Linked DNA regions of Solanum lycopersicum. The protein of the gene in region 1 binds, or shares a complex with, the protein of each later gene. Links are inferred from orthologs where the notes say so. Each region holds a gene or a part of one and is shown in the gene's direction. Other genes may lie near its edges. The genes, in order: EZ1, VIN3-like protein 1, VIN3 and FIE.

Region 1 (7,501 bases):
TGAAGGGTACCCTGACTTTCCAGATCATCTTCCAGGGCCAGCCACTACTCTGAGAGACTGATCTTTGTGATGTCTTGTAAGCTGAACCAACTGAAAATCTGCCTTGCTTGTCTGGTAGCGGAAATAGATTGTCCTCTTTGGGAGTGAAATCTTTGTATAGGCTCCAGAGTATTGAGCAGTTCAGCCACTCTGTTAATTTCCCAGTCGTTCAAGTGTCTCCTAAACCTTCGTTCAAGTGTCTCCTAAACTGAGATAGACTTGATTGTCTCTCATTTCTCTAATTGTGGATACCTTTTGAAGGCTCAGGTTGAACAAGTCTGGATACCTGTTCTATAAAGTTTCTTGTCCAGCCCACACATCTTCCCAAAATAGTGTTTTCCCCCCTTTTCTCACCTTGATTTTACAGTTGTTTGCAAACTTGATCCACTGAGTTCTGATAGACCTCCATACTCCAGTCCCGTACAGTTGTGTGGGCATGTAGGTAGTCCATTTGTTCTCCATGCCAAACCTAGCCTTGATTGTCTCCTTCCACAGTGCTTGTTCCTGTGATGCAAATCTCCATAGCAATTTCATCAAAAGGCTTCGATTCTGCAATTTTAGGTTTCCTTATCCCCAGACCCCCTACTTTTTTGCTTTGAATGACTTCATCCCACTTTACAAGATGATATTTTTGCTCATTAGGATCACAGTTCCCTTGCCACAAAATAATTCTTCTGATAGCATCCATTTTGTCAATTACATTTGCACGCATTGGGAAAATTGATATCATGTATGTAGGCATAGCATCCAACACACTGTGATGAGAGTAACTCTTCCACCTAGAGACAAATATTTGCTTTTCCAATTCACTAGCTTTTTCTCACATTTCTCCGGAACATTGTTCCATATGCCTTTGACTTGCTCTTATCCCCCAAGGGCATGCCAAGGTACACTTACTAAATTAACCAAACACGATCAATAAGTCGATTTCTACAAATGCGGTATCTCAAATACATCAAAGGCCAAAGCATATCCAAACTTCCTCACCATTTATCCAACTTCCAACACAATGAGAGTTTTCCATTTACAACTCTTTCAACCACCACAACTAGCAACGAATACTTTGGACCTTAATAAATAAACTAGTTCTAGAAGTTATCATTCTCAAAAAAAATAAACTAGTTCTAGGTAGTGTATTTACCTTCTTCAAGTTTTTCCTAAAAAATCGTAAGCTTGGGATTTTTGGTGTTCTTGAACAATTTGATAAAATTTATAGATTTGTTTGTTTGAATGATGTTAAAATCCATGTATATCAAGTATAATTAACTCAAATATATCATTACTGACGTACCTTTGTTTGTAATAGAGCTCCCAAGCATCAAATTGCTACTTTTGAGCTCTCAACAGTAACTGCTTTCTCAAAATCCAATTCTGTCCCGAAACTGGTTTTTATATGCACCTGGAAGTCTGTCGATATGGCAATGCGTCGCATGACCCGTGATAGTACTGCCAGTCTTTGGTAAAATGGCCATATCTCCTTGTATGAATGTCCAGATACTAATGGCTTGAACCTTTGGAAACTGTAAACTTTAATTTGATATATAGTGCACACCATAACTCCTCATAGAATGCTAGTATAAAGTAAGGCTTTGTGCGCATTTCTATACAACTTTAGTCCATAGTGTGGTTTCCAATTTGGTTTGGCCCCGCCCCAAGGCTCTCCTAGACCCCATTATCTTTTCCAATATACCTCGTATACTTATCATCGTGTCCATGTGATGTGCTTCATATCATTAGCCCTCATTCAAACGCAAATTAAGGTAGTTAGAATGTTTAGAACTTCTTAATTGCCTTTAAAAATTTCAAACTTTCCGAAGTGCTACAGTAAAGAAATTCTGCAACTGAGAGTTTTATCCTTGTCATTTTCTTTACATTTGAGATTTCCATTTACTAGAATTAGAAGAGTTATTCTGTTGTTTCCTGAATAATACAGATCCAGAGCACAATATCTCCTTTCAGCTCTGTTCTTTTTTTGTTTTCTGTGTCCATAGATTTCCTTAATTTTTGGTTTTGTGAAATGATGATAGGTTTTCCTCAGACACTCATAGCTCATATGGGTAAAGAAGAATACTCCCTTTATCCCGTTTATAATTACTATTAGCCCCAAAGGTTGTAAGTGAGTTGAGAACCATGTTTCACTTTCAAATCTTAACGGAGACAAAAAAAAACACTAGGTTATTTCTTCCCATCTATGTCAGGCTTTTTGGACAGAGTTACTTGTACATAATGCTGGTGGGAGGTATCCCGTGGAATTGGTCAAGATGCAAGCAAGCTGGTCCAGGCACCACGGTTATCCAAAAAAAATACTATCAAAACATATAGAAATTTCTAAGTACTTTAATAGAACATTTTGATCTGTATCACTTCAAGTAGTCTCTGAATATGTAATTTTAAAACCATAAAGAAGGTCAATGTTCAGATATACACCAAAAAGTAGGTGCTTTGACTCTCATACATCCAAAATCATCTCTTTTTGGTATGAAGAGTGTTGATTTGATTGTTCTAAGTTGTTGGATTGACAGATGATCAGTTATCCTGTCCTATCCCCAGTCCCCTGCTACAGTAGCCTGGGCATATTACACTTCTCCCTTGGATATAATAGGTAGCTTTCTGTATGTTTATGTAAGCTTCCAAGCACCTTCAGTGAACTAGAATATCCTACCTATATTTAGCCAGCTGGTGGGAGTTGCTTGCATTTCGTTCTAGTAGTTCTCTGACAGAAAGGGTGCAGCTGCAGCCTTCAGATTTCAGACAGGAAACATTTTTTTTGTGCTTGTCAGTTTGCTTGTTTCTCACAGAGCCATCTTATTTTCACTTTATGGGATTCTGTAGGATGGCTTCACGGGAGTTTGGGCTTAATGAAGAAGTTCTTGACATCTTGACTCAGTATGTTGGAGGCACCACTTCTGAAATCCTGGTAAACTGAGTTGGTGATGTAATTGGGTAATGAACTTATAGATAGTAGATATTTTAGTTACCTCATTTATGTGTGTTTGGTCTTGCTCACATGTTGACACATGTTTCTCTATCTTTCACGGTTGTCTTGTTAGTGGCTACCTGTGAAATCAATTTGTATACCATCTGATTTGTATTTCTTTGTTTGTTTTATTAGGAGCACTGTAATGTGCTTGAGGAAAAACATCAAGATACAGACGGCAAAAGCTTAAAAGATTCTAGGGAAAGTGGATTTGGGGGGAGCATGTTTCTAGACAAAAGCCTTACTGCTGCTTTAGATTCCTTTGATAACCTTTTCTGTCGCCGCTGTCTGGTATGTGATCGAAATGTGTTTTTTTTAAAACTGAAACAGAAGTTTAATGTGTTATTAATTGGCTCCCTGTACTAATACAGGTGTTCGACTGTCGTCTGCATGGCTGTTCACAAATTCTTATTGATGCTGTAAGTATAATTTTCCCAGCTTATTCTACTGAATTTGTATATGAAAATCTGAAAGTCTTTTTCATTTGGCAGATTGAAAAGCAGCCTTATTCTTCTGATTCTGAAGATGATAGAAAACCTTGTGGTGATCGGTGTTATCTTAAGGTATTCTTTTGAGTTTCGACATTTATACACAAGCAAGTAGATCATACCTCTTTAAGGTAGGAATTCCCCTCAATGTATCATTGATTTGGTTTATTAAGATAACCCTTGTTTTTGAGTTAGTCCGGAATATTTGTAGTATTTTAGTTCCCAAACTTTTTTAACTAAGCAGCTTAGCTTTTTCAGTAAGTATTTAGGCAGCTCTGCTTTTAACATACAACTTTGGTATTAGCTGGTTTGCTAGTTTTGGGTCTGACTGTCAAATGCCAAGTGATTTTTCTACTAAGTTTACCATCTCTGGAGCAGATGATCATAAATATACATTTATCTTCTAGACTTTAAAACCTCCATTCTAATTTTAAATTTTTCCTTTATATTACATAATCAGTTCAGTTTTGGTAATACTTGCCACTGCTACTGTCTGCTCCCTCATTTGCTAACTTGCTCTTCCCCTTTTTCTCCCTTCTTCTTTTTTCACTCACTTTCAGCTTTTTATGTGGAGAAATTCATTTTGAGGTTTTAGGTAAAAGGTGTAGCAAACCAGACTAAATATTCAAATGTAGATCCAGTGGAAGGACTAGAAAAACACACTTCAGAAGCGGGAGGTAGCACTATGGACATCAAAAGAACTAGAGATCCAGGTGACGATGATTCACACACTTTTGATGACAGATCGCTTTGCTGATTTTTCTTGTCTTGTCTATAACATATGAAGTTACATGTTGCTGGTTCAACTTGTTTATGTTTCCTTGTCACAATAGACGAGCACATTGATAGCAAAATGAAGCATGGAGTATCAGATTCTATAAACACAACTTTAGAGAAGTCAAATCTAGTTTTGGATGACCAACAAGATTCTTCTGGTAAGAGAAGGAAATTGTCACTCCCTACTGCTGTTAGTGTGGCAGCAGAAGATGGATCTGAGAGCAATGGGATGTCTATTAGCACCAATGATTATGTATCACATTCACAAGCACCAGATCAGTCTGGCTATAATCATGGTACTTCTTTGCATGAGACTGGGGACAATGTCTCAAATGAAGGAGAGGACACTATAAAGGAAACTGTGAAGCATGCATCCTACTCCAAAAATTTACCAGAATGGAAACCCCTAGAGAAAGAACTATATTTAAAGGGGATAGAGATATTTGGGAGAAATAGGTATGATTTTTAGTTGATATTGGTTCTTTCTCAATAATAGAATTACAATTATTTTACATTAAAATAGGTTTATATCATCAGTGGTAAGAAATGCATGTCCATGTGAATGAAAAAGATGGAAATGACTGTTCCAAATTTAACTTGTACCTTTCTTTGATTTAACAAAAAATTGCTACACCAGATATTTCCTTTCATTGTGGATATCATCTAGTCAGGTAGTTCGTAGTTGTTTCTTGTTGACAGAAGAACAGAGAGTGAGAGATTAGATGGTAAAAACAAAAGGAGTCTCTCTGAGTCTTCACATGTCACTTGGTACTTTTGGGAGTACTCAGGTCAGTGTTAACAAATCCTTAAAACTTTACAACCCTTGCAATGTATTTCAGCTACATGCAATGATAAGTCAGACTAAAGGGAGCCCGGTGGACTAAGCTCCCGCTATGCTCAGGTCTGGGGAAGGGCGGACCACATTATGTCTTATTTAGCAGCCTTACCTTGTATTTGTGAAAGATGCTGTTTCCGCGTGCAATGCTAGATCAAACTCAGAAATAGGAACTGTCTGCCATTCTCTTCTAGCTACACACATTAGTGTTTCCAAGCTGACATCTATGAAATTATTTTTAAGATCCAAAGCTCCACATTCTGACCTCACTTTGTGGGATTTGCTGGGTATGTTGTTGTTGTGAAGGTCCACATTCTTTGTATTCATTTAAAGGATTTCCATATGGATATACTGCTATTTTTTTTGTGTCTCCCGCCAATTTCAAGCAATCCTTTCCTGGGGCTTTCAGATAGCCAATCCTCATTTTCTTCACATTCTAAAGATGCTTGAATTAATTTCCGATGGAGGTACTTTATATGGTTCTACAGGCATACATATTATTGTACCATCTAACACCATATTTCGGAGCGGCAATTATAGAGCTGATTAAGTTTTGGATTCAAAAGGGCACACATTCCTGTGAGGAACCATGGGCAATTGCAGCTAGTATAAAGTTTAGATAAGTAGAATTGGTCAGTGAGCTATGAACAGGGGATGGCTTTAGCTGTACTGCATTTTCTGGGATCTTATGCTATGTTAAATTATCTTTTACAGAAGTATTATTGATGTCATTTAAGCAATAAACAATATGAAGGTGATCGAGTATCAGATTTTTTTGGAGTCCTTTTCACTTTTATTATTGTGATAAATGAATCAGCATCCAACTCAGGGATATTTTTCTAGCTCACACTAGAGCCTAGGTGATAGGGGGTGTAGTTGGCGGCTAAGGGGCTTGGGGGAGGAGTGGAGACACAGATAGTATGTAGTCTACAGCTTCATGGCCAGAGCTTCAAATTCTTCTTTTCTTTCAAGCCGAGGGTCTATCAATGGCAAACAGTCTATCTTCCCCATATAGGTAGGGGTAAGGTCTGTGTACATCTTAGGATTGCACTAGGCATGTTGTTGTTGTTGTTACACTTTACCTGTGATATGCCTGTATAAAAGACCAGATGTTAGCTATTAAAGTTTTTGTTTCTTTCTATGCCAAGATTAGTTACTGAACTTTCCTCAGTATCAATCAATCAGTCAATCATAGAAGTGAAAGTAGGGAACATTCATCTTTTTTCTGGTCTTCCAGGGACCCTTTTACATTTAAGGAGAGTTCTTTTTTAAATGTTTTTTTTTTTTTTTGAAATTGGTAAATTGTATTCATCAACATTAAGGATATGTTGAAGTTCTTTTTTAAATGTTACGAGACAAAAGGAGCACATGGGTAAATGCTACACCATACTCTAGCTGATCTGGTCCCTCATGAGAAATCTGCTCTTTCTTTTCATGCAGATCATATTCTAAACCCCTCCCCACCACTTGTTCGTACTTCTTGAATACATGAAGTTGATTAAGTTTTGGTAACAGATTCTTGTGATTGATATGCTGAAATGAGATTGCTGTGTCAATATGTGTCAGCTCTAATGGATATCTCATTCATTGCAGTTGCCTAATTGCTAGAAACTTACTTCCTGGCTTGAAAACTTGTATGGAGGTATCCTCTTACATGGATAACAGAGCAGCGGCGCAACGTGGAGGCTCCTCAAGCTTATTTTCGGAGGATAATGGGAAAGCTGACATGGATTACATGGTTTGTGCTCCTCTTCATGCCAACTCATTTACTTGATGCATTGGCCCAAAGATACACATGAATCCTCATATTCCTCAGACCTTGAGACGACTGAGGGGTTCATGTGGTACATAGATTTGGGAACATATTTTACCTGCTTAATAATTGGGTGTTTGTACAGCATTGTCCTTTTAATGCTTATATTTTTTCAATCCAGCAGTGTCCCCATATTAATACTAACGATCCCATTAACATTATCCTTGTCCTCATAAAACTAACTCCTTATGCTGATATTTTTCAATCCAAGGACAAGGATAGTGTTAATGGGATTGTTGGTCTTCTCTTCAAATCCTAAAATGGTAAAAGGCTTCCCCTACCAAATGATGGACTTAAATCCAATGATAAAGTTCAAAGTAAAAAGTTAGCCCAATTGCAAAACCAAACATCACATTGCATCAAAGTCCATATCGATATTTTAGTGCGATAAATTATAATACAGGCACTCGTTAATCTCACTTTACAATAAATTACCTAAAAAAGTTAATTCATGAAGGTTATTATTTTAGTTCTTGTAGTATAACCTAGGGCTGCATACAGACTTCTAATTTCAGTCTATAACTTGGACAAAGCAGTCTGAACAGACTGTTCCAAGCTATCAGCCTTGCAAT
Region 2 (7,501 bases), on another chromosome or scaffold:
TAGCTTTGTGGAAGTTTTTGTCGGAAAAAAAAGTTAGCTCTGTGGAAGTCACTTTTACTATTTTTTAAGAAAACATTATCTCTATGGATGTCTCGGCATCTTTCTCTCGGAGGGAGACTCATTTTGATAACTCTACCAATATTAGTAATATCCAGTTCCAATGCCAAGCAAGGGAATTGACATTCAAGATAATTGAGGAAAATTGCTTATGGAATGGCAATAAGGAGGGCAAGAGTTTTTACTTGGTAAAGTGGCAGCCAGTGTTATGAAAGGCGCTCGCCTCGTCGCCAAAGGCGAGAGGCGAGGCGAGGCGAGGGTGGCTCGCCATTCTCTGGCGAGGCGAGGCGAGGAGAAAAAGGCGAGGCCCTGGTGATAATGGCGCTGAAATGGCAAGAGAAAGGCGCCGCCTTTTTGATTAAAAATTTTTTGACTTAATAATATTAGTCAAAATTAGGGTTTTTTTTTTACTTTCGAAAATTTCTGAAACTCGCGACTCTCTCGATCGATCGATCGATCGATTGACTCTTCTCTTCTCCCTCGCCGGCCCTCGCTGCTCCCTCGCTGTCCCTCGCCGGCCCTCGCTGCTCCCTCGCTGTCGCGTCTCTGCTTCCTCGCTCTCCCTCGCTGTCGCGTCTCTTCTCCCTCGCCGGCGACCTCGCGACTCTCTGTTTTCAGGTAATGTCGCGTCTCTGTTCTTCTGCTTCTTCTATTCTTATTTTTTCTGTTCTTTCTTCTTCATTTTTTTTTATTTTGGTAAGCTGCGTAAGCAGCAGTGAGGACTCAGTAAGTGTAACAAGTGTTAATTTTTTTTAAAAAATTCTTTTGATAATTTTGAAGAAGAATAGACTTTTAAAGTTTTGGTTTATTGTATTTTGAATTGTTTGGTCTTTAAAGTTTTAGACATTCTATTGGTTTTTGAATTGAATATTTGTTAATATGTGTTATTGCTATTAAGACTTTGGATAAAATATGCAATTAAATATTTTTAATTTTTGGTATTAATTGGCGCCTTTATTCAAAAAGGCAAGCGCCTCGCCGCGTGGCGAGGCAGGCCCTTGTCGCCTTTTGTCGCCTCTCGCCGTCCACAACACTGGTGGCAGCATAACAGAGCTCAAGGAGGTATGGGGGTTAAGAATTAGAAGCTGCAAAATAATAGCCTATTTATGATATTGTTATGGAGATACAATGTGGAGCATCAAGCTCTCTAGAAGGAAGTAGTCCAGCAAAAATTTTGCCAAGAAGGACACTGGTGTATAAAGTAGGTTACAAACATATGGTGTAGGGCTATGGAGATCTATTAGATATCTGTGGCCTGATTTCAAGAGAAGTGTCTGTAACATGATAGGAAATGACAATAGGATTTTTTTTGGAAAGGCAATTGGACTAGAAATGGAATGCCACAAGAACTTTTTCCTATGTTGTTCTCTATTAGTGGCAAACCTGACTGCAAAGTTGAAGAATCTTGCACCTCAAGGTTGGGACCAAACATTGAGAAGGTTGCTATGTGAATGGGAAGTGATTGTGTGGCTAAACTACCGAGTTAGTGGGAAGTTGGGCACAAAAATTGAAGATGATACAGTCAGATGGAACCATCAAAGTGATGGAGTATTTACATTGAGCAGGCGTATTCAAGGGGAATATATGAATTGGCAGGAGTTTCAACTGGCGAAGTTTGTGTAGAAGAACATGGAACCAATTAAGATGAAATGTTTTGCTTGGCTGGTTGTGAGGAGAGCTTGTCTTACACATTCTACGGGAAAGAAGAATAGAAGTAGCATCTATATGTTGTTTACATCAAGAGGCAGCATAAAAGAATAACCATTTGTTTCTTCTATGTAAAGTTACAACTATTAGTTTCGCTAAGGAAAGTTGGACTATGCCAGAACACCCAACAAATTTATTAAGCTGCTGGATAGAGGGGTTGGAGGTACTAAAAGACAGAAGATATGGTGAACAGTCCCAAGTTGTATATGTGGAATATGGAATGAGAGAATGGTAAATTTTCTGAAGGCAGATCCAGTTCCATTCAGAAGATCAAATGGAATTGTATTAGTTCATGTTTCTAGGGTAAAAAACTTACTTCTCCATCCCAATTTATGTGATGTAGTTTGACTTGACACTGAGTTAAAGAAATATGGAAAGACTTTGCGATGTTCCTAAATTACCTAAAAGAGTACACCTTTGTAGACTTCTTGCCAAATAAGTGGGACCCAATATGGGAAAATGTTGATGGTGTTATTAAATACTTGCCAAATAAAGAAATGTTTGATTCTTTTTGAGACGGACTAAAATATGAAGTTAGTAATATAAATTGGAACAGGAAGGAGTACAGATGATGAAATATAGATAGTACTTTCATAGGAGTTTTGTAATTAATACCACTCTGTAGCTCACTTTTTGGAGGTTGCTGTCGACATATCTCTTAGGGTCTGTTTGGAGAGCCACTTGGTAATTGAAATTGATGTAATTACTAGGGTAGTAATTACATTGTATAGTAATTACACTGACTTGTTTGGTTGTCACTGTGTAATTACACTATAATTACACATGTCCTGTTTGGCTGCCAACATATCTCTTAGGGTCTGTTTGGAGAGCCACTTGGTAATTGGAATTGATGTAATTACTAGGGTAGTAATTACATTGTCTAGTAATTACACTGACCTGTTTGGTTGTCACGGTGTAATTACACTATAATTACTCATGTTCTGTTTGGATGCCACCATGTAATTACACATGTTCTCTTTGGATGCACAAGAGCAATCATAAAATTATAACAAATTTTAAGAATAAAAATTAATTATTTAAATTTTATACTAGTCAAATAAGAAACTTTATAAATGACATTAAATAAAATATTTACGATATATATTCTTTGTTGAAAATATATTAATTAATAAACATATTTTCTGTAACTAATATTATGAAAAAATAATTGATTTATATTTTTTCAAATTAATATATTTCAATTGAATTGATCGTAACAACTAAAAGTATGAAATTTCTACGAACATGGTGAAATGCATGTTCGATAAAAAGAATAATATATAAATAAAATGTCATAAATTATTAAATGTTTGACAAAAATATAATCTATCAAGTCTAATCAAAACATGACGTGCAATGTAAAATTCAATATTACTAAAACAAATGAAACTGAAAATATAACATAAGTTATAAATTCAAAACAAAAAATTTAACATAATACTCTTACAACAAATTTCAGCACAGCAATAAATATGATTTATTTTTATTTTTTCTTAATAAAAAAACATATTTCTATAATCATACTTAACAATAAATTTTAATTCAAAAATTGGAATACTAATAAAATTATGCTAATGAGAAAGAATCACGTAAAGTAAGGTTAAGAACAAGAAGAGAATGAAATATAATTATATAAAATAAAATATAAACTTTTACAAATTTTTAGGATAATAACTTAAAAAAAACTTAAAATAATAGAAGTAAAAAAATTTAAACAAAAAAATTAAAATAGAAATAAAAAAAGAAATTAAAAAGTAATGTAATTACCAGCAATTCACAGCCTCTACCGGCAAATTGTAGAGTGTAATTACCCCCTGCCATACACAATTACCTGCTGACAAAGCAATTACCTGTCCTTCCAAACAGGACAAGACAGTGTAATTGCACCAATTACACCAAATTTAATTAAACAAACCCTTAATGTTGAGGAATCCAAAATTACCCGTTTTTAAAATTAGCGCATTCTTCTTGTTTTCTGATGCTAACCCTGTGGCTTTTGGTTACTTCAAGAGGAAGATGGTTTATGTGTCTCTATTTAAGAATAAAATGAACATTGAAATGCTAATGCTTAATGAAGGCCATCACATTGTGAACGATAACCTACATGTTAGATTTATTATTTCACTTCATTACTTTTTTTGGGGGGTGTGGGTGTTCACAATGGGGAAGTGGTTATAAAGTTATATGACCAAAGATGTGAGGGGTCATTTGGTAGCTGGTTTGAAGGTGGGCTAATCAAGTATTAAATCGTGCATAAGTAATACCATGTTTGTCTTGTTGCTTAGAGGTAAATTATTCATGTATAAAAATAATAGGCTATTTGGTTTGCAATTAGAAATTTGCATAACTATTACCAGGGAATCTATTATTATTATATGCAGGATAGAAGGTGGAATAATAATAATTGAATAACTAAACCCTGCATAAGGTGTATATAGAAAAATACATAGATTCCCTCATAACTAGCATTACTAATACCTGTTATAACTCGATCCAACTACCAAACGACCCCCAAGTGCTATAGGATTATTCTCCAATGTCCATTTCTTGTACCTTAATATAATGATTCTATAGACTTTACAGTTTGATGATAGAAATTGTTATTCACTGAAGTTCATAGATTTCCATTTGATAAAAAACGATAATGCCTTTCAGTCATATCGAGTAATAATAGTATTTTAGACCTTTCTATAAATCTTCTCGGTTGTACTCTTTTCTTGTGACATTTATATTAACTTCTTCATCTTTAAATGGATTCTGCTTTCAACTCTTCATATTTCTTGAAGTTCCTTCTGAAAATTTTATGCAGGATTATCATTTTCGGTAGCATTAAATAAATGATGTAATAAACTTCAACTCCCTTTTAAGTTTGCCTATTTCATATGTCATAAGTTCTGACTTCACCTTGAAAAAGGGATGAAATGTCAGTTATTGACACTCAAAAGCCACTGAAATTTCATTTTGTCGACATATATATGTGTGTGTGTGTGTGTGTGTTTCCATGGGCAGGAATGGACTTAAGTTTCTGAGATCTTTAAATGCAATGGAAAATCGTCCTGTACCTCTCCTTTTTCTGTATCGAGTATTTGACAGTCTGCAAGCAATTATATACGAACTTTCTTGCTCAAAAGACAGGTCAAATCATACTTCTGTTAGTGGATACAAATCCTTGTTACATTTCTTTTGATGAGATCCACTCAGTTTTTTCATTTTGCCACAACTGTTGATTCTTTGTATGCTAACTCATGTGTTCTTTATATCCAGTTTTTGGTGTTCTTAGTGTTTCGTCCAGTTTGAAAAGCATTACAGAGAAAATTCAAGAAGTTCAAAGGCACTCCAGAAATTCTTGAAATCTGGTCCAAAGGAAAGATATCTTGGAGTTTTACCAGGTCAAGGAAAAGAAGCTATTGATTTTATCCTAGTGCAAAATGTCTGAGCAATTCCCAAAGTTGAGTAAAAAGCAATTAAAGACTCAAGAACAAAAAAGAGTATCTTCAAGTCCCAAGGATCATTCTTCTAGAAAGCAGCTCAGAAAAGGGGAAAACCCTCTCCGAATTCTATCAGCTGCGGAGCAGTATGCTGATGTGAAATGTTCAAATTCATGGATTTGTAAAAATTCTGCATGCAGGGCAACTATTTCTATAGATGACACTTTTTGCAAGAGGTGCTCTTGTTGCATTTGTCACTTATTTGATGACAACAAGGATCCTAGTCTTTGGTTGGAGTGCACATCTGAATCTGGTCAGGGGGACTCCTGTGGCCTGACTTGTCACGTTGAGTGTGCACTCCAACGTGGGAAGGTGGGAGTTGTTGATCTAGGACAACTGATGCAGCTAGATGGGAGCTATTGTTGTGCTTCTTGTGGTAAAGTTTCTGGAATTCTTGGGTAAGTTTCTTTTAGATAAGTATAACAGTTCTCCCTTTCCAATGCTGATATGTTCGTTCAGTATTAAGCCAAACTAAAACTATACCAAGGTGGTAGGGTGAGTATATCCTTGTTTCCTTCTTTCCTGTAACATCCTTCTTTGGATTGGACTTCTGTCTGAAATCCCTTGACCTATTCTGTCTTTGACTTGCCTCACCAAGTCCTTTCCAACCTCTTCTGATGCACACTTAAGAACCATGAAAAGAACTACCTTACGAATGATTTGGAGCTTCCAGCAGTTGTATTTTCACTGGAAATTTATGTGTGTGTGTGTTGAGGGTAAAAATGTGTGACTCAGGAATCTACTCTGCATGCTGTGAACCTACATTTGGAAGGTTGAAAGAGGACTTATTCCCTTGGCACAAGTCTGTGCAGAGGGAGAAGTCTTGAAGCCATCTTCCTCTAAAATTATTTTATTGTCACTTTGCAGTAGTGAAGATGTTAATTGTTTAAATTCTCAAAGATGTTGATTGTTTATTCTTTGTTCAATCTTGATTAGTTTTTTTAAGTTCTGTTACTGATTTTCTGGTTGATCAGATTAGTCGATAGCTATTTCATAAGTGGAAAAGGGCCAAAAATACACCTGAAATATAGGAAAAGGTCTAAAAATACCTTCCATCCATCTTTTGGTCTAAAAAATACCCTTCCATTCACCTTTCTGGATCACTTAACCCTTGCAACTAACAATCCTTTTTTTATTTTTATTTTTTTAAAATATTAATTATGATTCATTTTTTATTGGATGAAATAAAAACCCGCCTTAAAAAAATTACCTCTTCCACACCCCAAAAATATTTTAAAGAAAAACTTAATATTTGTATTTGCGGTAACTTATTTTTTTAAAAGTTTGTTTTAGACAATTAACATATTATAAAAATATTAATAATTTCACAATTATAGAGATGTTATATTATTCATAAATCTTTTTCTTTTTCCTTTTTTTTTTTAATATTATTCATAAATCTTAAGCTTGTTTATCCTCCGTTAAATTTAAAAAATAAAAATAAATGATAACTTAATTTTTTTTACTAATGATCTTTGTGATAACTAATTTCGAAGAGAAAGTTCCATAAAAGACTATAACTAAAGATTAACTCAATTCAGAACAAAAAAGAAGATACATGCTCGTAGCCTATAGGGATAAGAAAAGTAGAAAAGAAGAGAATTTTATACCATCTCCATTTAAAAAAGAATGACATTCTCTTCTTTCCTTTTCAGTCTGTTTAAAAAAGAATGACTTCTTTTTTTTTTTTGGTAACATTTTAGTTTCAGCTTTCCGCGTGGCATGTTTAAGGCTACAAGATTAAAGAGCAAATTTGTACATTTGACATAACTTTAATTTAGAACCACAGGATTCAAAAGTCGTCTTTATTTACTTAAACTTCGTGTCAAGTCAAACTAAATCACTCTTTTTGAAACGGAGGTAGTAATATGTTATGGATAAGATAATATTAGTATGATAATGACATTATTAATTTGTTTATGAAATATTAATTATTTATCATGTTAAGAGTCTTGATTTAATTATTTAAATCTTAGCCATTTATTTTTCTCTATGTTGTGTGTCTTCAATCCAAGTAAGAGCTTGAGGAAAATAGAGAAAAAAATGGAGAGTAGCTGGATTAAAAAAAAATTAAAAAAATAAAAAGCTACCACAAATACAATAAACTACTTGAGTTTAAAAAAATGAAAATAAATTAGGGTCTTGAAGACTTATACTCCCTCCATTTCAAAAAGAATGACCCTATTTCCTTTTCAGGTTGTTTCAAAAAGAACGACCCTTTTCCTTTTTTTGCAACACTTTAACTTTAA
Region 3 (7,501 bases), on another chromosome or scaffold:
TGTGGAAAAGCTAATGATCTATTAAGGTAACTCTTTATATTGCTTTCTAACAGCTTCACCTGATCTTGTATTTTATGATTCCACAGTAAGAAAAAGTTTGCTTTTTTCGCATATCATCTATATTTTCACATCCCAATTTTATCTTTTCTTTCTATTTTTTCTGAAATTATGTGTATTATAGTTTATTTCATAAAAGTATTTTTATCGACATCAAGGTTTTGGCTACTTAAATTTCATCTTTGGATTAATATGCTGTGTTTTGGGGAATAATTAATGACATCAAATTTATGTTAGTACTCTGGACCATTTATCACCACAGATGTTCAACATGAGCATCCGGAAAAGCCTAATTGTAGAGAGTTCAGAATCCTTTTACTCAATTTCTTATTTTTTTTCTTGAATCGCTTATGAGAATGTATATTTGCATCTCGATTCTTCTTTTCCCAAGGAGATGAATCTGTAAATTAAGGCTTAAAACCATGATTTCAGTTTCAAACTTGTAGAGGAGTTTTGTCCTTGTGTATGGTGTTGCATAATTTTACAATCCTAAGCTTGTATTGATGATTGAGCTTGTGGGAGCTGTGGAGAATACCTTCCCTTTGCTATGAGCTCAACGAGCTTGTTGTGCCGCTACAAGCTCGTCAGATTGGCTATTAACAATTTCGAAATTTGATGTCTAACATGTGCTAAAAGATAGATGTATTGAGAACTTCAAGTCACTCCTCTTTTTTTCGACAATGGAACCTTAGCCCATATATGCAATGTTTCCTAAATAAACCATATGACACTGTAGCATGACCAAAGCTTTTGATGCCTGCTTTATTCCTAGCCTTTAAGGTCATACGAGTGCAAATTTGTATTACATATTTTCTGAATTTTTCCTCCTTCCTATATATATTTTGCCAGTTCTTTTTTTTTTTTGAAGCTTTGATCCAAGTCTTAGAGTTCAAAAGGTATTTTTTACCAATGTCTTTGGATTCACCATGTTTTTCTTATCCCACATAAGTGCGGTATGTCCCAATTATTGGTGTAGTCTATACTTGCTTATCTAATCCACTTATATAATATGATTTGAGTTGCTGAGACGATTGTTGTGTTGTTGTCAAAATGATCGACTTATTGTGGGTAATGGACTGAAAGGGTTAGATTTGCAGCTGGCTATGAGCCCTTGCCTTTTAACCTTTATTGTGGCAAAGGGACTCCTAGGACTACTGGGGAAGACCATTCTAAGCAGATATCAGTGCCAACAAGTTGGTTGTGCTACCAAGGTTATTTTCTATTCATGAAAGTATGGATTCCTGTTTGGTGGGTAGAGTTACCCGGTACTTCTGCTGATGGGAGGTAACATCCCGGTGGAATTAGTTGAGGTGTGTCTAAGTTGACCCTGACACCACCGTAAAAAAAAAGAAAGAAGTATGGTCTTCTGTATAGTAAATGAATTTGCTGATGGCAGATATATAACATTTATTATATCTTGGACATTTCTAGCCTATGCGAAGTCTGACTGTACTTCATTAGAACAACAAGTTAGATCTCCTAAGGGGATCTAGTTTTGGGTTTGATACTTGGATTTCAGTTTGTCAGTTTGATAACTGAAATTTCCATGCCCTGAATATATAATAGTCTGGGACATCTGATGGAATAAATGTATAAACCACTAAAAACAAGACTTGTCACATGTATGAATTATGGAACATGTATGTAGATTTACTTCTCTGACGGTGTTTGAGATTATTCCATCCAAAGAAGAATGATACCATTAATATTTAGGAAGTTCTAACAGATTTTTTCTGACGATCGACCATCTTTCCAAAGTTCAAACATCTTTGTAGGTGTTTTACGTATCTATTATGGTTTATAGTAACTCTTTCTCCTCATCCAATCAAATCTAATGTTAATATTATGCTGTCCAAACATTCAGTTATTCCATGATATTTGGCTTATTTTATAGTTTCTCTGATGTCACATGCATATTGCTTATTCCTTGTAAGCATTCACTGGATCTTCGGATGGTTCAAAATTGGGAAGCATAGATATAAGCTGCGAGTCTGTCTGTCACTTCCTTTTGTGATCCTATTGAATGATAGTTTTTGCAGATATTTTAATCTCCATAAGCCAGTTTGTAAACAACTCCTATTTTGTTCCAAAAAATCTTTGGATGGGAGGGATTGAAGGCCTTGTATATTTCATGAACACGTACAGACATGAACACTACATACCAAACTAGTTTTTGTTGTTCTCTCTTTTCCCCTTTTTGGTACTAGTGGAGATTGAGTACCTTGATTCCAATTTTTATTAAAATAAAGGTGATATTCAATGTTTTGCGAACTATTGTGGCATTTAATGTATGAGTCATATGATGAAATTATGAGAAAGAATGATAAGAGCATAGACTTGGAAACACCACAAGAGTAATAGATAACCAGTTTGGGTGCATGCCCTGTAGATCTACATCTGAGACTACATTTTTGTGTAGGAGATTGATGGAAGTTTATCGTAGACAAAATTTGCACATGGTGTTCATTGGCCTAGAAAAATTATATGATAGAGTACAAAGAAAGGTTCTTTGGTGGGTGTCGTCGTGTCGGAGAAGAAAGGACCTGTTAACTATATAAAAGTCATAAAAGACATGTATGAAAGAGTCTTCACTAGCCTGAGAACTGTAGTAGGGAATGCGAAGGAGATCTTGTAATCATGGATTTACACCAGGGATTGTCATTGAACCCATACTTGTTTATGCTAGCTACGGATGAGCTATCCAACATAATACAAGACGAGGGTCTAACCAACATGATACAAGATGAGGTCACTTAACTCATGTCCCATCCCTTCCCCTTGCCCCCTGGACATGATCCTATTCGACCACACCAAAGCCACCAAAGGAGATGTAAATTAAACAAGATGCAAGAGAAATAAGAATCTACTAAAACTATTGAATCAAGCAGAGAGACTAGGACTAATTAACTATAATAAGAACAGAAGAAAAGCAAGAAATATTATACAGAATGAACTGAAGCAACTAGCTCTAGAATATGGGTATACCCAAAATACTAACACCAGAGAAACCACAAGAACTATGAAATATATGGCACTATGGATCAAGAAACGAAGAGTCCGAGGGCAGAGTTAAATCAAGAGCAAAGTGAAGAAGGGATAGAGATATGCAATATTACACAATTAACAATGATACAAGAAAGATAGATCTGAAGACAATATAGGGAACCAATCTGAAAACTAGATCTGAAATGTAACTCTAGATATGCATATAGCAATGAAACAAATCTGAAAACCAGAAACTGAAGGCAAACTGATGTGAAACTGGAATAATTTGGGAAGATAGAACCTGTAACTTGAAGAGGAGATAGGAGGTACTTCATCCGGGCACTGGGGAGGTAAGCGGTCCGTGTTCTGCTGCTGCCCTTGTAACTTGAGACCCAACCCAGAATTATGGAGAAAGAAAACTCTAGAGTTGCTGGAGTAGATGTGCTTTCCAGAGCAGTGGCAGTGATGGACGAGCTGCGGTGGTGAAAGAAAACCCTAGAGTCAGGGTCCAAGAAAGTGAGAGAGAAATAGTCACAGGGAGTTTTGGCGCCGGTGAAGAAGATGGCCGATGAGTGGTTAGTGTGGCGGCAAAATTTCACCGGAGAAGACAGATTGTAACGCTGTCCAAGCAAGTTCTTGAATGAGATGAATTCTTGCACCCAAAGATGAAGGGGGTACATTTTCATGTTATTGCTAACTCAAACGTCATTAGCTTCAAGCGATAAAAGAACAAGGTTAAGAAGATAGGAAATTGTGTTTTTTTTTTTCCATGCAGGCAATTTACTGGGTGAATGAAATTATAGATGAAGATGTTACAAATAGAATCAGAATTGAATAGTTGAAACAAAATAGTGTTTCTGGTTGTTATGTGGTAGAGAGATGCCTACCAAAGTGAAAGGTAAGTTTTTTAGAATAGTTATAAAACCAACAATGCTTTATGAGAGTGATTCTTGGGTCGTGAAAGTTAAACACATTTACAAGAAGAATTTTGAAGAAATACAGATGCTAAGATGAATTTGTGGTCATACTAAATTTGACAAGATTAGAAATGATTATATTACTAGAATGTTTAAGTAGCACACGTCGAGGGGAAAATGTCCGAAAGCTTCTTGAAATAATTTGTTCATCATGTGTCAATCTGCAGTGTAATACACCGGTCTATAGGTGTGCAACCATTGTGAAGGTAAGTGTTAAAAGAGGAGGAAAATGCATCTAAGGACCTAAAATCCTTGGGAACCCATGCAGACATAGCGAAGTGGGGCACAGTGGATAAAAATCTAGATATTCGTTGCCTGTTCTTTTGAGGCGAGGGTTTATCGGAACCACCTCTCTGCCCCACAAATGTAGGGGCAAGGTCTACATACGTCCTACTCTCCTCACACCTCACTTGTGGGACTACAGGAGTTCTGTTATTGTTGTAGTCAATGCTTATTAGAGTATTAGTTGAAAATTTGTTTTAGGCATGTTAGCACTTTTACTGCCCTATACTTTATAGTAGTGGTTTAGCATTTCAGAGATTTGTAGGTTCAAAAAATTATGGAGAACTTTTATTACTTTTTATTTGTATTTGCAAAATATTGGCATGTTGTGAGTTTAAATGGATAACATGATCAATGAGGATTCATATAACAAACCCCAACTTGTTTGGGACTAAGGTGTACTGCTGTTGTGAACTTAATTTTCAATTGCATTATTGAATTATAGTGAACTATTTCCACTATTGTCAGGATGCAGCTGACTAGTTTAGTGAGATGGTTGTTGAATCAATAAAGGAAAAATGTCAAAGAACTAACGACATGTACATAAGCTCTTTTATTTACTGTGGCCTGTGGGATACATACCTCTATAATTAAAATGCAAGCTATGTTTATTATTTAGGACTAAAGATGTTCTATTTCTCTGATTCTTGCAGTTCCTTGAAAAAACAATATTTTGAAGATTGTACAAAAAAATAATATAAGAAAAAAATTATAGCTTTAAAAATGAAGAGAAAAAAAACAATCTACCTTTCACTAGAAACATTTTAGAAGTTCAAATCAAACAACTCAAATATTCATATTAATAAATAAAGTTTTTATAACATCATCCAAGTGCAGACAAATGACTAACATGTTATTAACTAAAATTTAAATAATTTGGTTTTAGGCCACTATATTTTAGTGAATAACATGTTAATCATTTGTATGCACTTGGTTGGATGATGTTATAAAAACATTATTTATTAATATGAAACATAGTTTAGTGAGATGGTTGTAGAATCCATAAAGGAAAAATGTCAAAGAACTAATGACATGTACATCACCTCTTTTATTTACTGTGAGATACAGACCTCTATAATTAAAAAGCAAGCTATTTTTATTAGGATTAAAGATGTTCTATTTCTCCAATTCTTGCAGTTCCTTGAAAAAACAACTGATTGTAGCAAGAGATACCAGGCGTGTAGACATATTATGTTATAGGCTTTCATTGAGCCAAAAACTTTCTTTTGGTGCCGAAAATTGCCCAAAGCTGTATGAAGTTCTAGATGAAGCAGTGAACAAGCTTGAAGCAGATGTTGGCCCTTTGACTGGTTTGCCTGTGAAGATGGCTAGAGGTATAGTGAACAGGCTCTCATTTGGCCCTGCTGTTCAGCAACTTTGTGGCTTGGCTGTTGAGTACATAGATGCCCTTCTCTCTGAGAGAGTGTCTGAAATGCCATCTAATGCTAAGGTCAAAGGTAATACTCATTCTAATTTGTGGTTTGTTTGTGCAGTACATAGATACTCTCCTTATTTTTATTGATTCTGTAGATTTACCTTTCTCTTCATGTGTTATTGTGATGCCTTCATTGGTTTCTTTGTCTAAGCTTGGTACTCATTTGATTTAAGTCAAGTGAAGTAATCAGCATTTACATGGGCTATATTTTTTAGATTGCGAGGTGATAGAATCAAAGCTTGTCAGATTTGAGGATGTCTTTCCCTCATCTGTGACCGTTGTTTTGAGTTCTGAAGGGTCATCTATGGAGAATGTTGTTGGTTACTCCTTGTGGCATCGGAAAGCTGTTGAAACGGAATATCCAGTAGAACCAACTCGAACATTGTTTTCCCCAAACACTAGGTTTGTGCTCTCAGATCTGATGCCAGCTACAGATTATGTTCTCAAGATTGTTTCCCTTGATAGCAAGAAAGAACTGGGAATGTTTGAAGTTCAATTCTGCTCCAGTAAAGCTGAAAATGAACTATCTAATCTGAACATGAAAAGTTTAGAAGTTGAAAGAAGTCAAAGTCCACCAACAAATTGCAGCAACCTTTCTAATCCTTCTTCAGTGGAGGATGAAACTAATAACATCGTGCTATGCAGCAATGAGGCTGAGAACAGAGGGGATAATTGTCTTTCTTGTTGTGATAACACTGATAAAGCAATTTCTACAGACTTGTGCTGCACCACGGTCGCCTTTGCTAGTAAAAGTCATATAGGAAATGAAGAAGTAATGGTATCTTTAGGTGATGAGGAAGATAGCATTGTCAAAGTAACCTCCTTGCCAAATACTGATGCTATAAATCTTGAGAACAAGCAATGTTCAGATGTTCAAACAACAGAAGAGACGAGCACTGATAATGGGTCAAATGCACCTCTCCAGACTGCCTTAGAATTCGCACCATTTGTAGGTAGTGTGGATGCTGGCTTACCCATCACACCCTGCAAGATGGAGAATGTGAAGGGAAGCCTCGGCCGGAAAGGGAAATCAGAACATTGCAGCAAGGATCTTGATAATGGATCGGGGAAGGAGGATGGACCACAAGTTGGCTGTTCTTCAAAGAAGAGAGTTGGAGAATGGCATGAAGAATGTGCTGGAACTGGAGATAAGGATTTTGAGTATTATGTCAAAGTAGTTAGATGGTTAGAGTGTGGTGAGCATATTGACAAGACATTCAGGCAGAAGTTCTTAACGTGGTATAGCTTAAGAGCTACACCACAAGATGTTAGGATTGTCAAGGCATTTGTTGATACCCTAATCGAAGATCCAGCATCACTTGCTGGGCAGCTGGTTGATACTTTCTCTGATGTTATTTCAAGCAAGAGAGCTTCTGTAGTTCCAGCAGGCTTTTGCCTAAAGCTTTGGCATTAAAGGATTCAGAATGTGGATCCTCTATCCTCTATAGTCGCTGCTTAACTGAACATAATTCTTTTGATTCCCAAATTGTTCCATGTCGATTCATATTTATGATGTAAACGATTAAATCATCTTTAATTATTATTTTTTTTTCCTTATAGGTTGGTTCTACCCAATTCATCCACATTTCTCTCTGATGTTATGACATTGGAGTTGGAATGGAAGTGATATTGCTCTGTAAGATAATTTGAAATACAAAATCTGATTTGATATTTACTTCTTTTTTTGTAGAAGAAATCATAATTTTTTAAAATTGTCCTCCTCCTCTTTCTATGACCTCAACTTTTGTTGTCCTTGGCATCTGTT
Region 4 (8,018 bases), on another chromosome or scaffold:
ATCTGCAGCAAATATTCTCAATAATATACCAAGGGATGATTTTCATGTTTGCAATGTAGTCAAAGCTTGTCAAACAGCTTATGGAACGTCTGCCTCCGCAAAAGGGAAAAAGAAAGAAAACAAGACTGGGAAGATTGTGACATATAAGATGTGAAAAGTGGAATTCGTAGGGGATTTAGAAAATTCTTCGGTATGTGTTAGTTCTGAACATGCCGGTCTCTGTTCCTGCTACGTTTTTTTTTTCCCCTTCCTCTTTGTGCTCACTCTTCTTCATCCCTTTTCTTTTGGGTGCAGCAGTTGTATGAGATCAACATTTTGCAGTTCATGTAGATGTACAACTTTTAGTGTTGAGAACTCGTTCGTGCTTTAAAGTTGCCCTGAGACTAACAGCAAGTTGGAAGTTGATCAAGAGACGACACTTCTTTCGACTTCTGGTATCATGCCTTAAAAAAGGTTGGTGTTCCTTCTGATCTTGAAAGAGAAACATATATTCTGTATGGCATAGAAAGTGACGGACTGCAGCGTAGAGATGTTTAACAAGCTTTACGCATACAGAAAATGCTTCGTGGTGTTCGAATAATCTATCAGGGAGAACAACAATGAAGAGAAATTGATAATCCTTTTCTTTATTGCTCAAAGATGTTGCCTCTTTGAACAATTTTTATTTACTATATTCAGAAAGTATATTTCAATTGTACTCCTTGATAGTAAAGATGTAACGATTATTGATGATTTTTTGTAATACAATAGGAAAAATTTCAGCTTTTGGCCAAAAATGAAATCTACAATCCTTTCGAGGTGACCTCGTGGTTTGGACTCGGGACTTTCATATTGGAGGTGTCAATATTTAACCCTAGCCAGCAAAAGCAAGGATTTTTGCTTTCTGGGTCGTGCTCGTCGATAATGAAATACAGACTTAAATACAGTACAAGTGAAACAAAGATGCTACAAATTTGTCAAAAAGAATTAGCAACAAGAATGGCTTGCCTACAACGTGCTTTAGCTTGTTCAAGTCTTTTATTCAATGTTTCTTCTTTAACAGCAGCACTCACCATAGCTAAATCCATTTCCATAAGCTTCAAAACTCTGTACAATTCCGTCACCATTCTCTCCTCCACTTTTCCTTCGTCTTTCAACACTTCCGCTTCTTCCCTAGCTCTTTCTGCAACTATTTCTCCAACTTTCGCTAACAACGCCGTCGACCCAAAATCCCTAGCCATTAACTCTTCCAATTTCTCCAAAAAATCCATTATCACATACCCAATTGGCTTATCTAATGGAATTGGCTTTGTTCTCTTCCACCCAATTTCGAAATTTGGTGGGTCTTGCTTTATAAGCTCAGTTCTTGATTTTCTCTCACGGATTATCTCGGATTTTCGACGTTTTTCAATTGGGAATTTTTCTGGGCTAATTGTTGTTTCTGAATTTGGGGTTAGAAATTCTGGGTCTGAAGAAGATTCAGGTGAAGTGCATTTGATAGTGAATTGCTTTACGCAAGAAATTGGATGAATTGAAGGAAGAAGATGGAGATGGTGAAGTTGAAGAATATTTGAAGAAGAAGCCATTGTTTTAAATTCTCCAACAAAGTTGATAAGGTCTTATATAGTGTAGTATTTACTTTTGTCAATATACACTATTTGATAAAAGTGAATATCTAGATTGAGCTAAATATCTACCTGAAATACATTGCGTTTCGAAATATTTGTCATGTTTAATTTTTGATATTGAGAAAAAGTACGACTTGTATTATTTCTTGTGTAATCTTGACATATGGTAAACAACAATAACAACATATGTAGTGATATTTCACAAGTAGAATCTGAGAGGATAAAATATATGCAAATTTTTTCACCATCTCGCGAAGGTAAAGAAATTATTTTTGAATACTCACATCTCAAGAGCAATCAATTCAAGTATAAAGAAGAAGAAAACATAATAACTAACGAAGAAGAAACTGCAAAGTCAATAAGAAAGAAATGTCGCTAGTACAATAACAAACATCTACGAGCCTACACCCTCAAAAAGTAAAAGTAACTCTCCATACCTCCTAACCAACTATACTTCTTCGCCTATTTTCATTTAAAATTAATATTGATTAAATTACTCTCGAAAAATAAAATATGACAGTATTTTAATATAGATAGAATACAACACTTGTTTTGTTCATTTCATGTGACACTATTTTCATCGTTGAAGAATATCACTTTACTCTAATTAAAGATAATTTTACTTTAGAATCATATTTATTTTCCTGATGTACTTGATATACTTTTGTTTAGAATCTTGTTTGGTCATATGACACAAAATCATCATAAGATAAAGTTCAAATTTTATTTGGATATGTCGTTTGAACATTTTATCATGAATATAAAAAAATCATAAATTATAAAATTATTCTATATTTTTTTTACAATCTTATCAAATAAATAAAAATTTAATAAATCACATATACCGTATCATAATATTATTCTTAAAACATACCGTATTAATTGATCGAACCTTAATACTGTTCAAGGTGTTAGTAAAAGAAATTGTTTTTTTCAATTAATTAATGTCACAAACTCACAATGATATGTCTTGTGCACTTAATACAATGATGGTAAAATATTTTTATTAAGGTTTTTAAAAATAAAATATATATTCAGGTCGATTTTTCTATTTAAAACGTTTAAATTATAATTTAAAATTCTGAAAATCATATTAATTTGAAAATTTAGATCATATCTAAAACGCTAATTTCATCTCACGTATAAAATTAATCTTAAAAAAAAATGTCACTTGCGTCTTTTTTTTTTTAACAAATATTTTAGGGACACTGTAAATATGTAGAGTTTTTCGTTCCTCTCTAAGCTCTGGCGGAGTGATAGCAATGGCGGCCAGAGTACCTCTAGGATGTGAGCCAGTTGTTGGATCATTAACACCGTCAAGGAAAAAGGAGTATAGAGTGACGAACAGACTCCAAGAAGGCAAACGCCCATTATATGGCGTCGTCTTCAATTTCATTGATTCGCGCTACTTCAATGTCTTTGCTACTGTGGGCGGAAATCGTGTGAGTTTTTTCATTTGGGGTTTGTCAAAATTGTATTTTGTTTGTTGTGCTGATTCGAATTTGTGGAATATAATACTTTTCTTTTAGTAATTTGAGCTCTGGAATGAAACGGGTAAACGGGTACGTGTATGAACGACCTAATTGTTTGAGGTTGGTGGGTTGCTCTTATTGTTGTTATTGTGGTTGTTGGCTTCATGTATTACTATGAAAGTTCGAAATTTTCGTTCTTTTAGGATTTGTCTTGAGTTCTAGAATGAAACGGGATGACGGGTATGGGTGTAACTGTCCCAATTGTTTGAGACTGATGGGTTGCTCTTTTTTTTTGTGTGTGTGATTATTGGCTTCATTTATTGGTATGGAAGTTCAATTTTTTCATTCATTTGTCTTGAGTTCTGAAATGAAACGGGTTAATGTTGAAGAGTTGGTCTTCTTGTTGTTGTTATTTTTGGGTTCATGTATTAGTATGGAAGTTCAAAATTTGTACAATTTAGGTAAGAAGTATCAATCTTTTGTTTTTCTTTCCATCTTGGTCTGTCTTATTTTTTTAAATGCCTCGGGGTTAATATTAGTTGAGCTGCTGCTTGTTTCAGATGAAATTGTGCTAAAATTGGACTTGCAAGTTGCTTTAATGTTGATTGATGGTTCAAGGACCCTTTTTGTTTCCTACAATTGCTCTTATGCTTATCTTGGTAGATTCATTGATGCGTCACAAACTGAAATGTCTTTATGTAGTTATGACTTAGGATGGATGAGCCAGCTTTGTACAAACTTATGTTGTATGGTGTAATGATCGACAGTTTTTGTATGTTTCTCCACACATGCAGAGTGCCACATATTCAACAGATTTGATAATAATTACCTAATGGTTCACCTTACTATTATAAATTGTTCATGGCAAAGGTTATGATTCTCAGAATTGGGTATGGATTGTAATCTTGTATAATCTCTTAGCAGTGTGGAGTTATGCTATTATATATCTTGTTGTATTTCTAATCTAAGTTGAGAGTTATGGATGATGTAAAAGTAAATTTAGGATTTGGAGAAGTGCATGCTCTTGTTAAGTGATGTGTCTTTTATTGGTCTAGATATGTCATCTGAGAGTTGTTTCAGAATACCGAACTGAAAGAAGATAACAACAACAGAAGAATAGTACTAGCCTCAGGAAGTCAGGATATGCTTTTACTGTATGCCAATTGTCGATATCCTGACTAGTCTTTATTTTCTGGCTGTTCGTCAGGTGACTGTATATCAGTGTCTCGAAGGTGGTGTCATTGCTGTGCTGCAGTCTTATATTGATGAAGATGTAAGAAGTTGCAAGCACACAGTTGTTCCATCTGTTCTGTACATATGTTATTTCATATACTTAAAAAACTTTTGTTTTTTCCATGTGCTGTGTAAATCAGAAAGATGAATCCTTTTACACTGTAAGTTGGGCCTGCAATATTGATGGAAGTCCATTCTTAGTGGCTGGTGGAATAAATGGAGTTATTCGTGTTATTGATGCTGGGAAAGAGAAGCTACACAAGGTCTTGACATGAAATCTCTGATTCACATTTTACATGCTCAAACAAAAGTAGTTGCTCTTTTAGTTATAAAAAATGAATATCTGCATATGAGTTTTTAACAGCCCTCTAATTGATCTTTATCTTAAAACTAAAGTATTTCCTTTTTCCATGATTCAATCCATCTTATTCATCATGATATTTACAAGTTAAATATTCCTTCATGATTCGTTCCATGTTAAGTTGTATTAACAATACAAACTTGAAAGAGAAAGGTTCTCTTAAAAGTTAAAGCTAGTTACATGTTAACTTAATATCATATGTCTATTAATCTATTTTAATCTACTTTCTTATGATTGAACAGAGCTTTGTGGGGCACGGAGACTCAGTAAATGAAATTAGGACTCAACCCTTGAAACCATCTCTTGTATTATCTGCCAGCAAAGTATGTACCTTATGGATTCCTCTATTTCCTTCCCCCGCAAGGAAAAATATATTTGATCCTCTTTATTGGAAGAAAAATATTTGCACAGTTGCAAGATGTATGTGGAGTATCAATCAATTTTGCAAATATTTTACATGGCATAGTGTAATTATCACGAGTGTTACAGGATGAATCTGTTCGCTTGTGGAATGTTCATACTGGAATATGCATTTTGGTATTTGCTGGCGCTGGAGGTCATCGGAATGAAGTACTTAGTGTGGTAAGTTTCTCTGTCAATTGCAGTTCCACTCCAAGGATGGAGTTGGTCGCAAAGTAATGTCTTTCACATCTTTTACTAATACTGAGAACCAATATTTAAGCATATCAGCTGGTTTGTGATGTTTGTAGGACTTCCATCCTACTGATATATATCGGATTGCTAGCTGTGGAATGGATAACACTGTTAAGATCTGGTCAATGAAAGGTAAAACCTGTAACCCTTTTCAGTTTCACATGTATTATTGAAATACGACATATGATATAATACTAAGTATCATCACAGTCTAAAACTTTGAAAAGAGAAAAACTGAGGGTGATCTTTAGAGTAGCAACTTGTTATTGGCTGTATTCACAAGGCTTTTCCAGAATCTTTAGGGATGATGATGGTGCTATGCCTGTACTTTTCTGGATTTGGTGATTTTGCCACCGATATATCTTGAATCTCACACGACTACCTGGACGTGTTGAAATAATGACTTGCACACAATCTTCATTGTGGAATACATTAATTTATTAGCACATATTTCTACAAGGATATCTTTGTCTTTGGTTACAAGTATAAAAATGATGCCAACGTTTTCAAAGATCCAACCGCAGTTATCAATGTACCAATTACCTGGAAGGAATATTAGGCAGCATGCAGTTATCCTAGAATTTATGTATTCTGGTGTTCACAATGCTTTTTATCTACACTACTTTACTTCCCTAGTTATAGTCACACCTATCAGCAATTACCTTACTGTTGTCCCTGGAAACGATGTAGCGTTGGCTATGAGTCAGATTAAGTAGTCATCTGCTCCATTGGTGCTCTGTTGTTACACAAGTTTGAAAAAAAATAAAATGAAGTAACATCAATTTGAGTAATGTTACCAGTATATATAAAGAAGTAACATCAATATGAGCTGATATTTCTTTTCTGATGAACTACTTGTGCTACAGAATTCTGGACATATGTGGAGAAATCGTTTACTTGGACGGATCTTCCTTCCAAGTTTCCCACAAAATATGTACAGTTTCCAGTGAGTAACTCTTGTTAATTCTCTCCTTCCCTGCCTTCTTTCTTCTGAAAGTTTGGTTGGAGGATTTTTTCTTGCTGTAACCTTCTTTTTGTCCTTTCAGTTGTTAATAGCTTCTGTCCATAACAACTACGTTGACTGTAACAGATGGCTTGGTGATTTTATCTTGTCCAAGGTGAATATATTGACCTGCTTTCTACCTGAATTCTTTTTTTTTACCGTTCTTCTATATGAGCTTATTAGAAAAGAACTGTTCTATTGTATGAATTATTGGTTGGCTTTATCTTTCTTACCGGGAGATATTTACTCTTCTGATTTCGTCGAGGGGAAATCAGAGCAAATCTGGGAACCTCTGGAAAAGCAAAGAATAGCTTTCTTTCTTAACCATGAGCTGTCAACCTCAAGTTGAAAATTACTTGTTAATGGATTGAGGATATCTTCTCGTCTTTTACATGGTCTTCTCATATTTTACTTGTACTGATCCTTAAATTTTGTTGGAAATACTCAAGAGTGTTGACAATGAAATTCTATTATGGGAACCAAAGATGAAAGAACAATCTGCTGGAGAGGTTAGTTGGTCATGTTTGAACCATTTTTTTAATAATTATTTTCTAAAATTGGAAAATTTCCTAATGTATATTGCTCTACATTTAGGGCACCAGTGACGTCCTCCAAAAGTATCCTGTGCCGGAGTGTGATATATGGTTTATTAAGCTTTCATTTGATTATCACTACAAAACAGCAGCTATAGGTAATTCTAAGTGTTAAATCAAAATCTTGAATGTGCTTACTGAGTTTTCTCAACAGTTTTTCTGTTAGTGTACTGTTCACTGGATAATGCTCAAATTTGGAATCAAATGTTACTGCTTGTGTAACCCCCCACCCCCACCCCAAAAAAAAAAAAAAAATCTGGGGTTGCTGAGTGTGGCATGAAGTCATTTGTAACCCAGAGGCTGTCAAGATTATCTAATATTATCCCAAGTAAAATATAAACGAAAAGTTTTTAGGTCCATTTGTTGCATGCATGCTAGATTACTCATAGTATGTTTTGACCCAAGCTTGTTCTGGAATTCACCCGTTGACCTTATGTCTAACAGGAAATAGAGAAGGCAAGATCTTTGTCTGGGAAGTACAAACAAGCCCGCCAACTTTGATTGCAAAGTTAATGTCTATCCATCCCCCTCCCTAGTTTCTGATCCTTCTCGTTGATGTTTTGGATTTAAAGTGTTTGTGCTTAACTTTTGCAGGCTGTCTCATGTTCAATCTAAACAACCAATTAGACAGACTGCCATGTCTTTTGATGGAAGGTTAAGATCCAAAATCACTTTTTAACTGCTTCTGGTGTATGTTTTTGATATATCTTTCACTAACCGATTGTCTTTTTTCTTCAGCACCATACTTAGCTGTTGTGAAGATGGGACTATATGGCGCTGGGATGTGGTAGCAACAACTTTTTGAGTTTGAATGTACTATTATGAAGGATCGAAAGTATATCTAAACATGCAAACACACCTGTAAATTCTGCTTAACTTTATCTCTGACCTCTTTCTTGTGAGACTATCTCGATGTGCCAGTGAATCGAACTTGTACTATTAGTGCTGGACATATGGAGGTCGATGATCTGGGAAGGTTGATAGGACGTCAAACTTGTCTAGTTATCGTTTTTAGCATTATTACTATGACTCCCCTTTTATCTTGTTCTTCGTATTATTTCGATTGACAAAAATACCTTTGTAAAAGAAAGAAGG

The links.
Region 2: EZ1 (region 1) and VIN3-like protein 1 share a complex: the UniProt entries of both Arabidopsis thaliana proteins name them as parts of the plant homeodomain / polycomb repressive complex. The link is inferred for Solanum lycopersicum from reciprocal best matches to the Arabidopsis thaliana genes SWN and VRN5.
Region 3: EZ1 (region 1) and VIN3 share a complex: the UniProt entries of both Arabidopsis thaliana proteins name them as parts of the plant homeodomain / polycomb repressive complex. The link is inferred for Solanum lycopersicum from reciprocal best matches to the Arabidopsis thaliana genes SWN and VEL1.
Region 4: EZ1 (region 1) and FIE share a complex: the UniProt entries of both Arabidopsis thaliana proteins name them as parts of the plant homeodomain / polycomb repressive complex. The link is inferred for Solanum lycopersicum from reciprocal best matches to the Arabidopsis thaliana genes SWN and FIE.

The regions. Positions count from the first base shown.
Region 1 is NC_090800.1:74,603,350-74,610,850, forward strand, and holds part of EZ1 (histone-lysine N-methyltransferase EZ1), read left to right. Parts: intron 1-2,871; coding exon 2,872-2,956; intron 2,957-3,151; coding exon 3,152-3,307; intron 3,308-3,387; coding exon 3,388-3,435; intron 3,436-3,507; coding exon 3,508-3,579; intron 3,580-4,099; coding exon 4,100-4,217; intron 4,218-4,337; coding exon 4,338-4,737; intron 4,738-6,709; coding exon 6,710-6,854; intron 6,855-7,501. UniProt on the Arabidopsis thaliana protein: Polycomb group (PcG) protein. Catalytic subunit of some PcG multiprotein complex, which methylates 'Lys-27' of histone H3, leading to transcriptional repression of the affected target genes, mainly abscisic acid (ABA) responsive elements.
Region 2 is NC_090804.1:22,651,017-22,658,517, forward strand, and holds part of VIN3-like protein 1, read left to right. Parts: intron 1-5,028; 5' UTR 5,029-5,192; coding exon 5,193-5,650; intron 5,651-7,501. UniProt on the Arabidopsis thaliana protein: Involved in both the vernalization and photoperiod pathways by regulating expression of the related floral repressors FLOWERING LOCUS C (FLC) and FLOWERING LOCUS M (FLM).
Region 3 is NC_090806.1:12,271,033-12,278,533, forward strand, and holds the end of VIN3 (vernalization insensitive 3), read left to right. Parts: coding exon 1-26; intron 27-5,438; coding exon 5,439-5,758; intron 5,759-5,951; coding exon 5,952-7,150; 3' UTR 7,151-7,417; downstream 7,418-7,501. UniProt on the Arabidopsis thaliana protein: Maybe involved in both the vernalization and photoperiod pathways by regulating gene expression. Binds preferentially to dimethylated histone H3 'Lys-9' (H3K9me2).
Region 4 is NC_090806.1:68,820,524-68,828,541, reverse strand, and holds the start of FIE (fertilization-independent endosperm protein), read left to right. Parts: upstream 1-2,780; 5' UTR 2,781-2,869; coding exon 2,870-3,049; intron 3,050-4,286; coding exon 4,287-4,352; intron 4,353-4,452; coding exon 4,453-4,575; intron 4,576-4,915; coding exon 4,916-4,996; intron 4,997-5,162; coding exon 5,163-5,255; intron 5,256-5,383; coding exon 5,384-5,459; intron 5,460-6,193; coding exon 6,194-6,273; intron 6,274-6,373; coding exon 6,374-6,445; intron 6,446-6,779; coding exon 6,780-6,839; intron 6,840-6,924; coding exon 6,925-7,021; intron 7,022-7,367; coding exon 7,368-7,431; intron 7,432-7,517; coding exon 7,518-7,577; intron 7,578-7,661; coding exon 7,662-7,728; 3' UTR 7,729-8,018. Other genes in the region: pentatricopeptide repeat-containing protein At4g04790, mitochondrial, read left to right, coding at 1-154; protein CHLORORESPIRATORY REDUCTION 41, chloroplastic, read right to left, coding at 957-1,565. UniProt on the Arabidopsis thaliana protein: Polycomb group (PcG) protein. PcG proteins act by forming multiprotein complexes, which are required to maintain the transcriptionally repressive state of homeotic genes throughout development.